Cricetulus griseus: one gene and its partners. The protein of the gene in region 1 interacts with the protein of each later gene in a pairwise test. Links are inferred from orthologs where the notes say so. Each region holds a gene or a part of one and is shown on either strand. Other genes may lie near its edges.

What was found.
Region 2: the proteins of Rab11b (region 1) and Myo5b interact in binary tests that used the Homo sapiens proteins (3 or more experiments, as listed by UniProt). The link is inferred for Cricetulus griseus from reciprocal best matches to the Homo sapiens genes RAB11B and MYO5B.
Region 3: the proteins of Rab11b (region 1) and Rab11fip2 interact in binary tests that used the Homo sapiens proteins (3 or more experiments, as listed by UniProt). The link is inferred for Cricetulus griseus from reciprocal best matches to the Homo sapiens genes RAB11B and RAB11FIP2.

Annotation. Positions count from the first base shown.
Region 1 is NC_048598.1:95,215,531-95,219,591, forward strand, and holds the start of Rab11b (ras-related protein Rab-11B), read left to right. Parts: upstream 1-1,261; 5' UTR 1,262-1,380; coding exon 1,381-1,420; intron 1,421-4,061. UniProt on the Homo sapiens protein: The small GTPases Rab are key regulators of intracellular membrane trafficking, from the formation of transport vesicles to their fusion with membranes.
Region 2 is NC_048595.1:165,196,904-165,200,403, reverse strand, and holds part of Myo5b (unconventional myosin-Vb), read left to right. Parts: intron 1-759; coding exon 760-868; intron 869-2,765; coding exon 2,766-2,977; intron 2,978-3,500. UniProt on the Homo sapiens protein: May be involved in vesicular trafficking via its association with the CART complex. The CART complex is necessary for efficient transferrin receptor recycling but not for EGFR degradation.
Region 3 is NC_048596.1:1,380,620-1,384,119, reverse strand, and holds part of Rab11fip2 (rab11 family-interacting protein 2), read right to left. Parts: intron 3,073-3,500; coding exon 2,604-3,072; intron 1-2,603. UniProt on the Homo sapiens protein: A Rab11 effector binding preferentially phosphatidylinositol 3,4,5-trisphosphate (PtdInsP3) and phosphatidic acid (PA) and acting in the regulation of the transport of vesicles from the endosomal recycling compartment (ERC) to the plasma membrane.

The sequences.
Region 1 (4,061 bases):
TCACTGGCTGTTGTTACACAGGATTCAGGTTTGATTCCCAGCACCCACATGGCAGATCACAACTGTCTGTATCTTCAGTCTCAGGGCTGGCCTCTACGGGGAACTGCATGCACAGAGTGCACAACATGCAAACAAAACATACATACATACATAGATGTAAAATAAATACAATTAAGCTGCATTCCTTTCCCTTAGTATTCTGCCCAGCCTCTGAATATTTGTTAAACAAAGACTTCATGGCACAAAGCAGACTGTTAATTGTGTATGTGTTTAAGGAAACAATCCACATAATCTCAGGAACACATGAGCAGAGAAAGAAAATGAGATCAGAGAGGTAACTTCTAAGTTACCAGTGTATAAGAGGATCACAAATTCAAAGTCAGGATGTGGTGGCAAATGTCTTTTAATCCCAGTACATTTGTGTGTGGCAGAGGTAGGTGGATCTCTTGAGTTCTACACAGCAAGTTCCAGACAAGCTGAAGCTACACAGTCGAGACCTTGTGCTCCAAATAAGGCAGGGGAAAAAAATGTTCAAAGTAATCCATAAATAACATAGCAAATTTAAAGGCAGCCAGAGTAACATTAGGCCTTGTCTCAAAAAAAGAAAACCAGACAGGTGTGGTCTGATTCACATCACTAATTCCTGTACAACCAGGTTTACTTAGTGAGAACCTGTCTTTAAAAAAGAAAAAAAAAAAAAAGTGAGTACTGATGAAAAGCAGAAAACAGAAGACTTAATTTGTTGAGAAAAGGAGCAAATAAAGAAGTCTAGGATCCCTATTTGTTTGGGAGGTACTGACATAAGCTTTAGGTTTAAACAAAGAATTGGGGGACTACCACCCAGAGAAGGTTCCCGCAGTCGTCATACACACACACACACACCCGGAAATGGTCGTTTATGGGGCTAGGGTAAGAAGCCAGGGCAGACGCACTGACCTATGATGTCATTAGGACGTTAAAGTCCTTAACATCACCTGGAGGGAGCTCAATTTCCCTTCCCCGACAGGTCCGGGGAAAGCCGATTCTGAATGCAGGCCCTCATTGGTTACGCCCTCTGTCAATCCACTTCATTGTTCCAGTCTTCCGCCCCGCCTTTCCCCCCTCTGCTTCTGATAGGCTCCTGAGCCTGTCACTTCGGAAAGGTCCGCATTCCTTCCGCCTTTCTCCATGAGACCGAGGGCTAGAAGGGTGGATCCCAAGAGGCTCCCACCCACCTGAGCTCGGCTCCTAAGTCTGATTGGCTTGCTCGGGTGCCTGTCACTACCGCTTTCGCCGTTGACTGGTCGTCGGACCGCCGCTCTGCGCGGCGCCGGTTCCGCCCCCGTCGGGTGTTTGTGGTGGGGCTGCGGAGTCGCCGATCCCGCCGGAAGCGCCAGGACAATGGGGACCCGGGACGATGAGTACGACTACTTATTCAAAGGTGCGCCCGGTGGAGTACAGGCGGGCAAGGGCGCGGTAGCGACGGGAGGGTCGAGGCCGCAGTACGGGGCGAGAGGGTCCAGGGTGGAGCCCCAGGCTTCAGCGGGGCCCTATCCCGGGTAGAGAGTCGGAGGAAGCCACGGCAGGCCGAGCTCACTAGGCTTCGGGCCCTAGTCCGCAGCAGTGAGAAGAGGGAGGCTTAGAGAGGCCTGTGGACCCCGGATGCACCGGGGCGGGGCCGGGCCCTGGAGAGGGTGGGGCCCGGAGTGGAAGGCGAGGCCGTTGGGGCGGGGCTCCATGAGGGGCGGGGCTTCCCTGGGTTTGGCTGGCGGGCTGCGTTGAAAGCGTTGACAGCGGGGGGTTATAGATGGGGTTAGGGCAGTTGAAGAACATTGTGGGCGTGCCCAGGAAGCCTGATTGGTGTGAGACTTCTAGGGCTGGGCCTGGACTGGTAGGGGCGGGGCCTGCCTTTGGGGGGGGTGGGGCCTGGGTCACGTGGTGCAGGAGCCCTAAATTGTGGTGCCTTGGAATTGGGTGGGATGGTGCCTGTGTGTGCAGCGGTAGTTCAAACTCTGAGTAAATGATGGAGATGTAGTTCAGTTGGTAGAGAGAGAGCTTGCCTAGCAGTAGCAGGCACAAAGCCCCGGGCTTTATCGCCAGCACCGTATAAACCTTGTGTGATGGTGCAGGCGTTGGGTGGTCTGCGCTTGGGAGGCAGACGTAGGAAGATCAGAAGTGCAGAGGCCAGCCTGGATTACTGGAACTCAAAGGAAAAAAAAAAAACACGTGGATGACATTGGGCCAGTACATACACTGTTCTGAGACTTTACATTAATGACTCCTTTTAATCCTCTTTATCAGTTTATACAGTCCATATTATCCAAGAAACATGCTTGTAAGTGGTGCACACCTGAAATCCCATTACTCAGAGTTGGAGTCAGGAGGATCTTTTTCTATTTCAAAGTCAACCTGGGGGTGATGAGATAGGTCAACAGGTATTTGTGTGTGCTGCCAAGCCTGATAACGTGAATTCAGTCTTGGGGCCTACATGGTAGAACAGAGTCTGCAAGTTGTCCTCTGTCCATGTCACATGAGCCCACGCACATACAGCACACAGAATAAATAATGTGATTTGGCCAACTGTGGTGGCACTTGCCTTAAGTTCCAGTACTCAGGAGGGAGCTGAAACACACAGTTCTGTGAAATTCAAGGCAGGCAAGCCTGGTCTACATAGAGAGTTCTAGGTGTGGTGGAATGCCAAGTGAGACCCTATCTCAACAAAAATTTTTAAAGATAACATCAGTTACATAGCCATATCCTGTCCTCAAAACAAGAAGGAAACTGAAGTTCAGAGAGACAAGTTCCTGAGGGAGGAGCAGGATTGAGCTCTGGACAGTTTAGGGAGTTTTTGCCACTTAGGGTATGAGCTTTGGGGCAAGTTTTGCAGCTTAGATCTGGAACAAACAGGTGTCAGACCTCCCCTCAACACATACACATCCAACCCACTGGAAGAGTTTCCTACCTGTAGCATGATCAATAAAAGACCCAGAGACTGATATTGGGGTTCAAACTTTAAGCTGAAGATCAGAAAAGCAAAGCAGCTGGCTATTAGTTCTTTCTTATAGCTCAGGCTGAAAGGCAATCCTGGCTCCACCAAACCTCATACTGAAATCCCAGACTGTTCTGCTCTCTTCCGAGAGGCTAGAGAATCTTTAGACTCCAATGTCTTCCTATCCTCAGTGTGGCTGGAGAATGAATGCCAGCTCTGAGACCCTGTTCCTGTCTAAATAACCTTTCATGAGTCCTGGGATTAAAGGTGTTGGCTCTGTTACTCTTTTAGACTGATTCAATCTCGTGTAGCCCTGGATGGCCTTGAACTCAGGGAGATCCATCTGCCTTTGTCTCCTGAGTCCTGGGATAAAAGGTGTGTACCACCACTGCCTGATCTCGGTAGCTTGAGGCTTACTTGCTTTCTGAATCCTCAGGCAAGCTTTAATAAAACATACTATATTACCTCACCCCCCATGTCACTGGGGTCCCTCATTTCTCTGATGAACATATTTAGGGGTCTCTGGCATGATGACACCTTCTATGCCAGGCGGGCTTTTTGGTCCTGTGCTGTTTATGCTAGGCTCCCCACCAGACAGTGGCTGCTTTTGAGCTAATTTCTGAGCACTAAAGGGACACACAGTTGCCCTTCTGGGAGTGTGTCCTGGTGCTTAAAGCCAGCCTTGGCATCTTGGGTTTGTGGAGGTAGTAGGGATAGCCATGTGACAAAAGGTTCCTAGGCAGAGACAGAGGTCTGCAAAGATGCAGAGTTAACCACATAGCACCATGGCCTGGTAGTGGGCTGTGTCCAGATGTAAGTGATTAGCAGGTGTAGGCTCCAGGTATCACTCTAGAGGCAGAGGATGATTTGGAAGGATTTTTGGAGACCAAATATTTGAAGGGCTTTCTGGTGATGGGTGGAACAGACTCAGGCCCTAAAATGGCAAGGACCTGTCCCCACACAACCTACCCTGAGGAAGCTTCAGGCAGGACAGGGAATCTTTTCCCTTCAAGTCAACACATTGAGCATCTGTGGTCATTCCTTGCTTGTTTTCGACCTTTTGCTGTTATAAATAGCTTGGCATTGAATGTGT
Region 2 (3,500 bases), on another chromosome or scaffold:
AACAGCATAATACTATGTCCATTTAACAGACTAACAATAGTGGGTTCACTCTGGAGTCCATGAGCTCCCTAACCTTACATTTTGGCCAGATTCCAGTACTGAGCATGTGTTTCCTTTAGTAGACCAGTCCTTAAACCCAATCAGAAAGTAGTTATTTAGCCCCATTAACTTTCCTGCCACTACTGTAACCATGGGCACATCATATTTCTTTGATTTGTTCTCAGTACATGTTTGGTTTGTATACCTATTTTACACACCAATGTCCTTGGGATCAGTAAAAATTTATCAGGTGAAAAGGAGTCTGGAGTGGAAAAATGTCTAGGATGACCTATTCTTCTCTTCCAAATTAAGAGTAGTGATATAAGAGATGGTGATGGGGACATGTTCATTCTCAAACACTTCCTGCATTTAGAAATGTGTTTACAAAGATCAGTATGAGTTCTCAAAGGTGAAAAACAAACTACATAGACAAAGCTGTGTCTACATAAGGTGCCCAAATTCTTCAGTGGTGGCAACAGATGAGAGAATAGATAGGTGTGAACAGACGGAGGCCCTGGCTCCATGAGAGGTACCTCCAAACACACAATTTCCCCAACCCAACTTCGGAATCCTGATACACTGGAGTTTCTAGTAGGGTATGGAAAGGACAAAGCTCCACTGGGACTGGTCTGAAGCTACTACAATAACTTATACAACAGCCACAACTCCATGAGATAGCATCTGAGGTCACCTTCTGATTCACCATCTTTTTGCCTCCAGGTGGACCTACCATGACTTCTTCATTCGGTATCGCGTGTTGATGAAGAGAGAGCTTGCCAACACTGACAAGAAGAGTATCTGCAAATCTGTCCTAGAGAGCCTCATCAAGGTGATACAGCTAGAGGAAGGCATGGACCAAACGCCTACCTACAGCTTTATCTTTATCCTGAAAACCTACTTAAGATATCAAGCCATTTCCTGCAACAGTGGCTGGGAAATGGGAGTCCCCTCCCCTACCTAGAGCGCTCTGCCTTCCTGTACCTCACACACAGAGAGAGCACAGGTCACTAGGGTGTGTGTGGAGGCAACCCCTGATGGTGGCAGCCGCTGCTACTGTTGCTATCTCAGCATCTCTGGCTTCTCAGGGCCATTGTACCCAGTGGATGTCTGATCTGTAGCTAGCATCAGCTTGTTATAAATAAAACAACAGATTATCAGGCCTTTGAAAACTTGTTTTAAATGAAACAACCCAAAAATATCACATTGAGGCTGAAAACTTATAAGAGCGGAGCCTCGAGGGTCAAATCCTTAAATATTTCAATAGTTCTAGAGAGTTCCAGGGTTATAACAAAGTATAATAATCTGTCTCCATAAGGTGCTAAACTATAGAAAGCATCTTTCAGAACGTGATAATTATATTAAACATGTTTTTGCAAGCTAGATAGCTAAGACAGTGCTGAGAGGGTGGTGGTGTGGTTAACTGTAGCTTGTGCTTGGTTGATGGACTCTGGTTGATGGTGTTGCTGTGGTCCATCCATCACCACTGTACATGTTTTGACATCTCATTTTTCATCAGTTAGAAAAATGTGTTCAAGGTCAGCTGAGTTCAGTTAATATATAACACGTCCCTTCTTCTTGCCAGGGCTGGTCTCCTGGTGTATACCCCAAGCCTGTGAGTAGATTCCATGACCATGTGACTGCCTTCCACTTTGTCCTGAGTCATAGTTCACCCTTACCTGGATTCCTCCAAGGTTATTAGTAGAACTTTCCATCCACAGATGAGGAAACAGAAGTATAAGAAGTGACTGTAAATTGTTTAGGATTTCACAGACATTCAAATGCACAGTTCCTACTGATCTGGGGTGACTGGTTAGGGCCACTGTGCACAGTTGTCTGTCCAGGAGATATACCACTACTTGTGCTTCAAGACTTCCCCGGAAGACATTACATTTCTTCCTCATTTCCCTCATTCCTTGGGCCATGTCTTCCAGATACAACATTTCCACTAAGTAGGACTTTGGCTGAGCCACAGGTTGCCTTCCATGGCTGCCTGCTTTGGCTCACACAGATCTTTGCTCACCTCCACAGACAAAACTGCCTAGATCAGTGGTTCTCAAACTGTGGAGCCTAAATCCTTTTTGGGGGGAGTCACATATCAAATATTCTGCATATCAGATATTTACAATATAACCCATAACAATAGCAAAGTTACAGTTATGAATTAGTAGTGAAAATAATTTTATGGTTGGTGATCACCACAACATGAGTAACTTATTAGAGGGTTACAGCATCAGGAAGGTTGAGAACCACTGGCCTGGACCATCCCTTTTGAACATTGCCTGTTTTGTTTCTTGCTAATCCCTACTCTTCTGGTCTTGGTGGCACACGCCTTTAATCCCAGCACTCGGGAGGCAGAGGCAGGCGGATCTCTGTGAATTTGAGGCCACCCTGGTCTCCAGAACGAGCACCAGGATAGGCTCCAAAGCTACACAGAGAAACCCTGTCTCAAAAAAAAAAAAAAAAGTCTCTTCTGTTTACTTTCCCATCTGCCCTCCCCATGATGTTGGATTTTTGAGGGCAGGTATCTTTTCAATGGCCACATCCTGGATCCATGTCTGTCTTACCTTGAAGATTCAAGTCTGTTTAATGAATACTGAGAATCTAGGTGTGTCTACTGGGGCAGGGGGTACACACGCAATCTGGCAAGTAGGTAAGCCTTGGCAGGAAAGGCTAGTGTGTTTTGCAGAATTCACTAACTAGCCAGTCTCCCTCCCAACCTTGTAAAGGATCCAGACAAGTTCCAGTTTGGCCGCACCAAGATCTTCTTCCGGGCGGGCCAGGTAGCTTACCTGGAGAAGCTTCGGGCAGACAAGTTCCGGGAGGCCACTGTCATGATCCAGAAGACTGTCAGAGGCTGGCTGCAGAAGGTGAAGTATCGGAGACTGAAGGCAGCTACTTTAACCCTGCAGAGGTTCTACAGAGGACACCTGGCCCGCAGGTAAGCCATTCGGGGGTGCACCTGGAGTCAGGACAAAGGCGAGGGCCTCTTTGTCTGGAATTGCAGTGCTTCCTCTTGGGCCCAATCTGCTTCTTTAATTGCTCCTGGTTCCTGTGTGCATCCCTGTGATGCCCTTGCTTCAGGGATCAGATCTAGTCATGTGTCTCCTGATACCCAATGTATCCCCAGCCCACCAATATTAACCTAGTACCATCTGATTTGCTTGAAAATCAACCATTTCTCCTTTGCCTGAACCCCAAAGTAAAACCAGTGTCTTTTAGTAAGAGAGATGAATCCAGTTAATTTGCATTGTAACTTCATTCCCCTGGGATGTTGTATGGAGCTGGAAGGTCTGGGGAAGCCCTTCTGTGAATTGCTCCTGCACTGAGACAGTGTAGAGAAGACATGCCTCATCCAGCCACAGCAGCTACCAGGTCACCAACCAGATTCTCTTCCCTATGCACTACCATGCAGGGGGAACTACTGTCAACATTCTCTTCCTAAAGAGTGGCCCTGGGCTAAT
Region 3 (3,500 bases), on another chromosome or scaffold:
GTGCTCCTGAAATCCTAGGCGTGCCAGTTCACACACCAGTTTGATCACAATGTGTTGTGCTTTAAATTGACTCAGTTGTCTCAAAACCATGGGTCACAAAAGTCCAGGAGGTCTCTAAGTAAGTTTTACTTAGCATACTGGAAAAATAATTCACAATACATGATCTGTGTAGCCTCAAAAGCCCTGGTCTGGATGCTGCTTGAGAGATGATACTGGAGGAGAGGAATTCTAGACACTCTGCTGGCAACAGCCTCTCAAATTCCACCCACGCTAAAACTGCTGGCTGGAAACTTGGAACTGCAGCCTTTTTATTCAGTCCATTTCTATGCAACTGTTTTGCACTTTAACTAGATCCACCCATTAACTACAAATGTTTTAATTTACCGGAAGGATGACTGTGACACAGAAAGAGAAACTTCCAGGAATATGTGTTCTGTCCTCATATCTATAGCCTCAGAAACACAAAGAAAAATGTCTTAACTTTTTAATCTACTCTTTATATACTTGTAATCATAGAATTTATAACACAGGCCTAATTTTGATAAAAGTAGTGCTAATATTAAAGTAAAACATAATGAATCTGAAACCTACGAAGACCATGTTCTCTATTAAAGCCCATGGAAGCCCAAGGCATTGACAACTTGAGGACACTTATTTTTTCATATGATAACATAATTTTAAAACATTTTTCCAACTAGTTCCCTTTTTCTTGCTTTTCACTGTAAAATTACCTAGATTAGCCAATTTCTAAGTTATCTTGAATAATTGTATTCAACAATCTCCTGCAAAAAAGAAAAAAATGTTCAGAAAGGGGGTGGGGCATACTATTTATGCCTATGTTTAGGATTTGTTGAAATATTAATACATCAACTATCAGCATGTTAGAACTTCACATCAACACTGTGAACTCTTCAATGGACCACTGATAGCACAAAATAAAAATTTGTTTCTCTGAAATATAGTCTATACACATACAGAATGAATTTTTTTCTAAAACCACAGCAAATCCCCATCTAATAATTAAAGAAAACAAACTAACAAAAAATGAGCATGCCCCTCTGGCAATTTTAAGTGCAAGATTTTTTTTCTAACCTAGCATAGAAGATACACACACACACACACACACACACACACACACACACACACACACACACGAAGAGAGAGAGAGAGAGAGAGAGAGAGAGAGAGAGACAGAGACAGAGACAGAGACAGAGACAGAGACAGAGAGGAGGGAGTGAGTGGAGGGAGGGAGAGAGAGGCCCAAGTGCAAGGCCTACCCAAGTGGCTGCTGATGCTCCATCTTCTGTTTGTAGTGGGACAGAACAAAAAGCACTAATCTTAAAGAAAACAATACAGGATAATACATCAATCAAGACAGAGGTTATCTTTTCCTTACTGAAAACTCCTGGGACCCAACATGCTTTAGAGTTTGATTTGGGGAAGATTTCAGAATATATGCATAACTTTATATATAAAAAGCCAAAATTCAAAATGTTTCAAATCTGAAACTCCAGTGAGTTCCATCCATGATGAAAGCATTAACGCTGGTGCCATATTTCTATATAAAAGTGGGTCAGGTTTCAAATCAAGGATGCTCACCCTGAAGCAGTGACCATCTATCGGTCCCCTATTTGGTGCCTGGCTTTGTACTATGTACTCTATGCATTATTTACCCTCACTAAATCCTACAAAGTATTTTCTTTACCTCAAAAGATGTAGATGCTAAGATCTACAGAGGTCATAGCACTACAAAGCAAGGACTCCCGCTCAGGTCTATGTTCTGGACACTACAGCTGGAGGAAAAGCAGCCTTTGTGTGGCAAACACTGCCTCCACTGTGTTCTTCCACAATTACTTAAAAGTTTCAAGGTCATCTTCATCTTTGTTTTCGGTCCCTTCATCAGGCCCTCCGTCACTCACATCTGCAGAACCCCTGACTTTCAGATGCCATGGAGTAAGAAGCAGTACACGTGGAAGGACCCAGAGCTTTAAATCTCCCATCTTCTTCAGCTGATTACACCTATGGACACTTGTCATCCCAGGGCTCTGGTTAGTGTGTTCACAGTGCCCGCAAGGGTCACCAGACTCCAGAAAACACTCATGAATAAAAGAAATTTCTGAGCAGCCATTTCATAAGGAGAGTTAACATCGGTTATGACAACGTCAACACTCCAGCCGGCATTTGTAAAGAACAGTGTGTGACTGCTATTGGTTCACTAAAGCCCTCCAGCCACCCCATGACTTAATCTTGGGGAAGTACCTAGAAACACACTTCTGGATTGAATTTGTAACCATGGTTTATTCACTCTCACTGGGTCTCATCAGAAGCCATGTGGTTTTCTACAAGACCTATCTATAGTGGCTTCTAGGCTTCCCTAGGTAGGTACAGACTAGGGTTAAAAGGAAGACGACTTTGTTCTTCCAAGGCAAAACATTCAATTCCAAGGATATATGCAAGCAACAATGTTTAGGTCTGTAATGAATTCTTAGAAAAGAATTATGTAAAAAATGAATATAAAATATTCATGCATCTAAAAGAAATATTTGTTACTTTCAAGTACAAGGTTCCCCAAGTGGCGCACACACTCCTCCTTGTGAGCTTACCTTGAAGATGGCATTATAGTTGAAGCCCTGAATTTTGCTGTAAACGGATTGGTTGACTCGTAATCAAAATAGTCCTGCCGATTTTCATTAAACGCACTAGGTGATTTCAAGTCACAGGGGCTATCAGATCCCCCATTGTTAAGCTTCTCCGATCTTCTGCTGTCTTTCTTCCCGGTCACTCGTTCAAAAAGGCTCACTTTCTCTTTTTTCTCTCTCTTATTTTCTTTCCTTACTTCAATTGGTTTTGAAAATAAATGCATGCTGTTGTCCCACGACTCACTGCTTTCTTCAAATGGATTTCTCTTCCTTGGCAGTGTTGCAGATTTTTGGGGTAATGAAGCAGTCACATTCATAAACGGGTCACTCTGTCTTCCAAAAGAGCGTTCGCCTTCATCCACAATGCTGCCAGGCGGGTTCAGTTTGGAAGTGTCAAAGCTTAGTGTTCTTCTGTGTGGAGACTTGAGACTTCCTACAAACATTTTCCCCCATTAGTAGGTGATGGGTGACATAACGCTATTATACTATTTTTGTTGCTTCAGAATGAGAACAATTAGCTAAAGATATTAACCCTCAAAACAATCTTAAAATTAGGTAAGGGATATTGTGAAGCACATAGTGCACTGTGAGACAACTGGGTGTCTTAGTGGCTTAGAAACCATCACATGAGGAAAGTATAAGGTAAACCCAAAAGACCTGCTGTCAACTATCATGTTGGCAAGTCTTAGACTTTCCTCTGGATATAGATGTTCTCCCTAGGAACAGTTAGATGGGATGGAATATATGCTGCAGATTTTCTTGTTTTATTTTTTTGTGTGTGTGTGTACAACTGTGCCACCACCTGCCTTGCTTTTTGAATGTGGGTTTTGGGGATTGAACTCAGGTCCTCCAGCTTTCAAG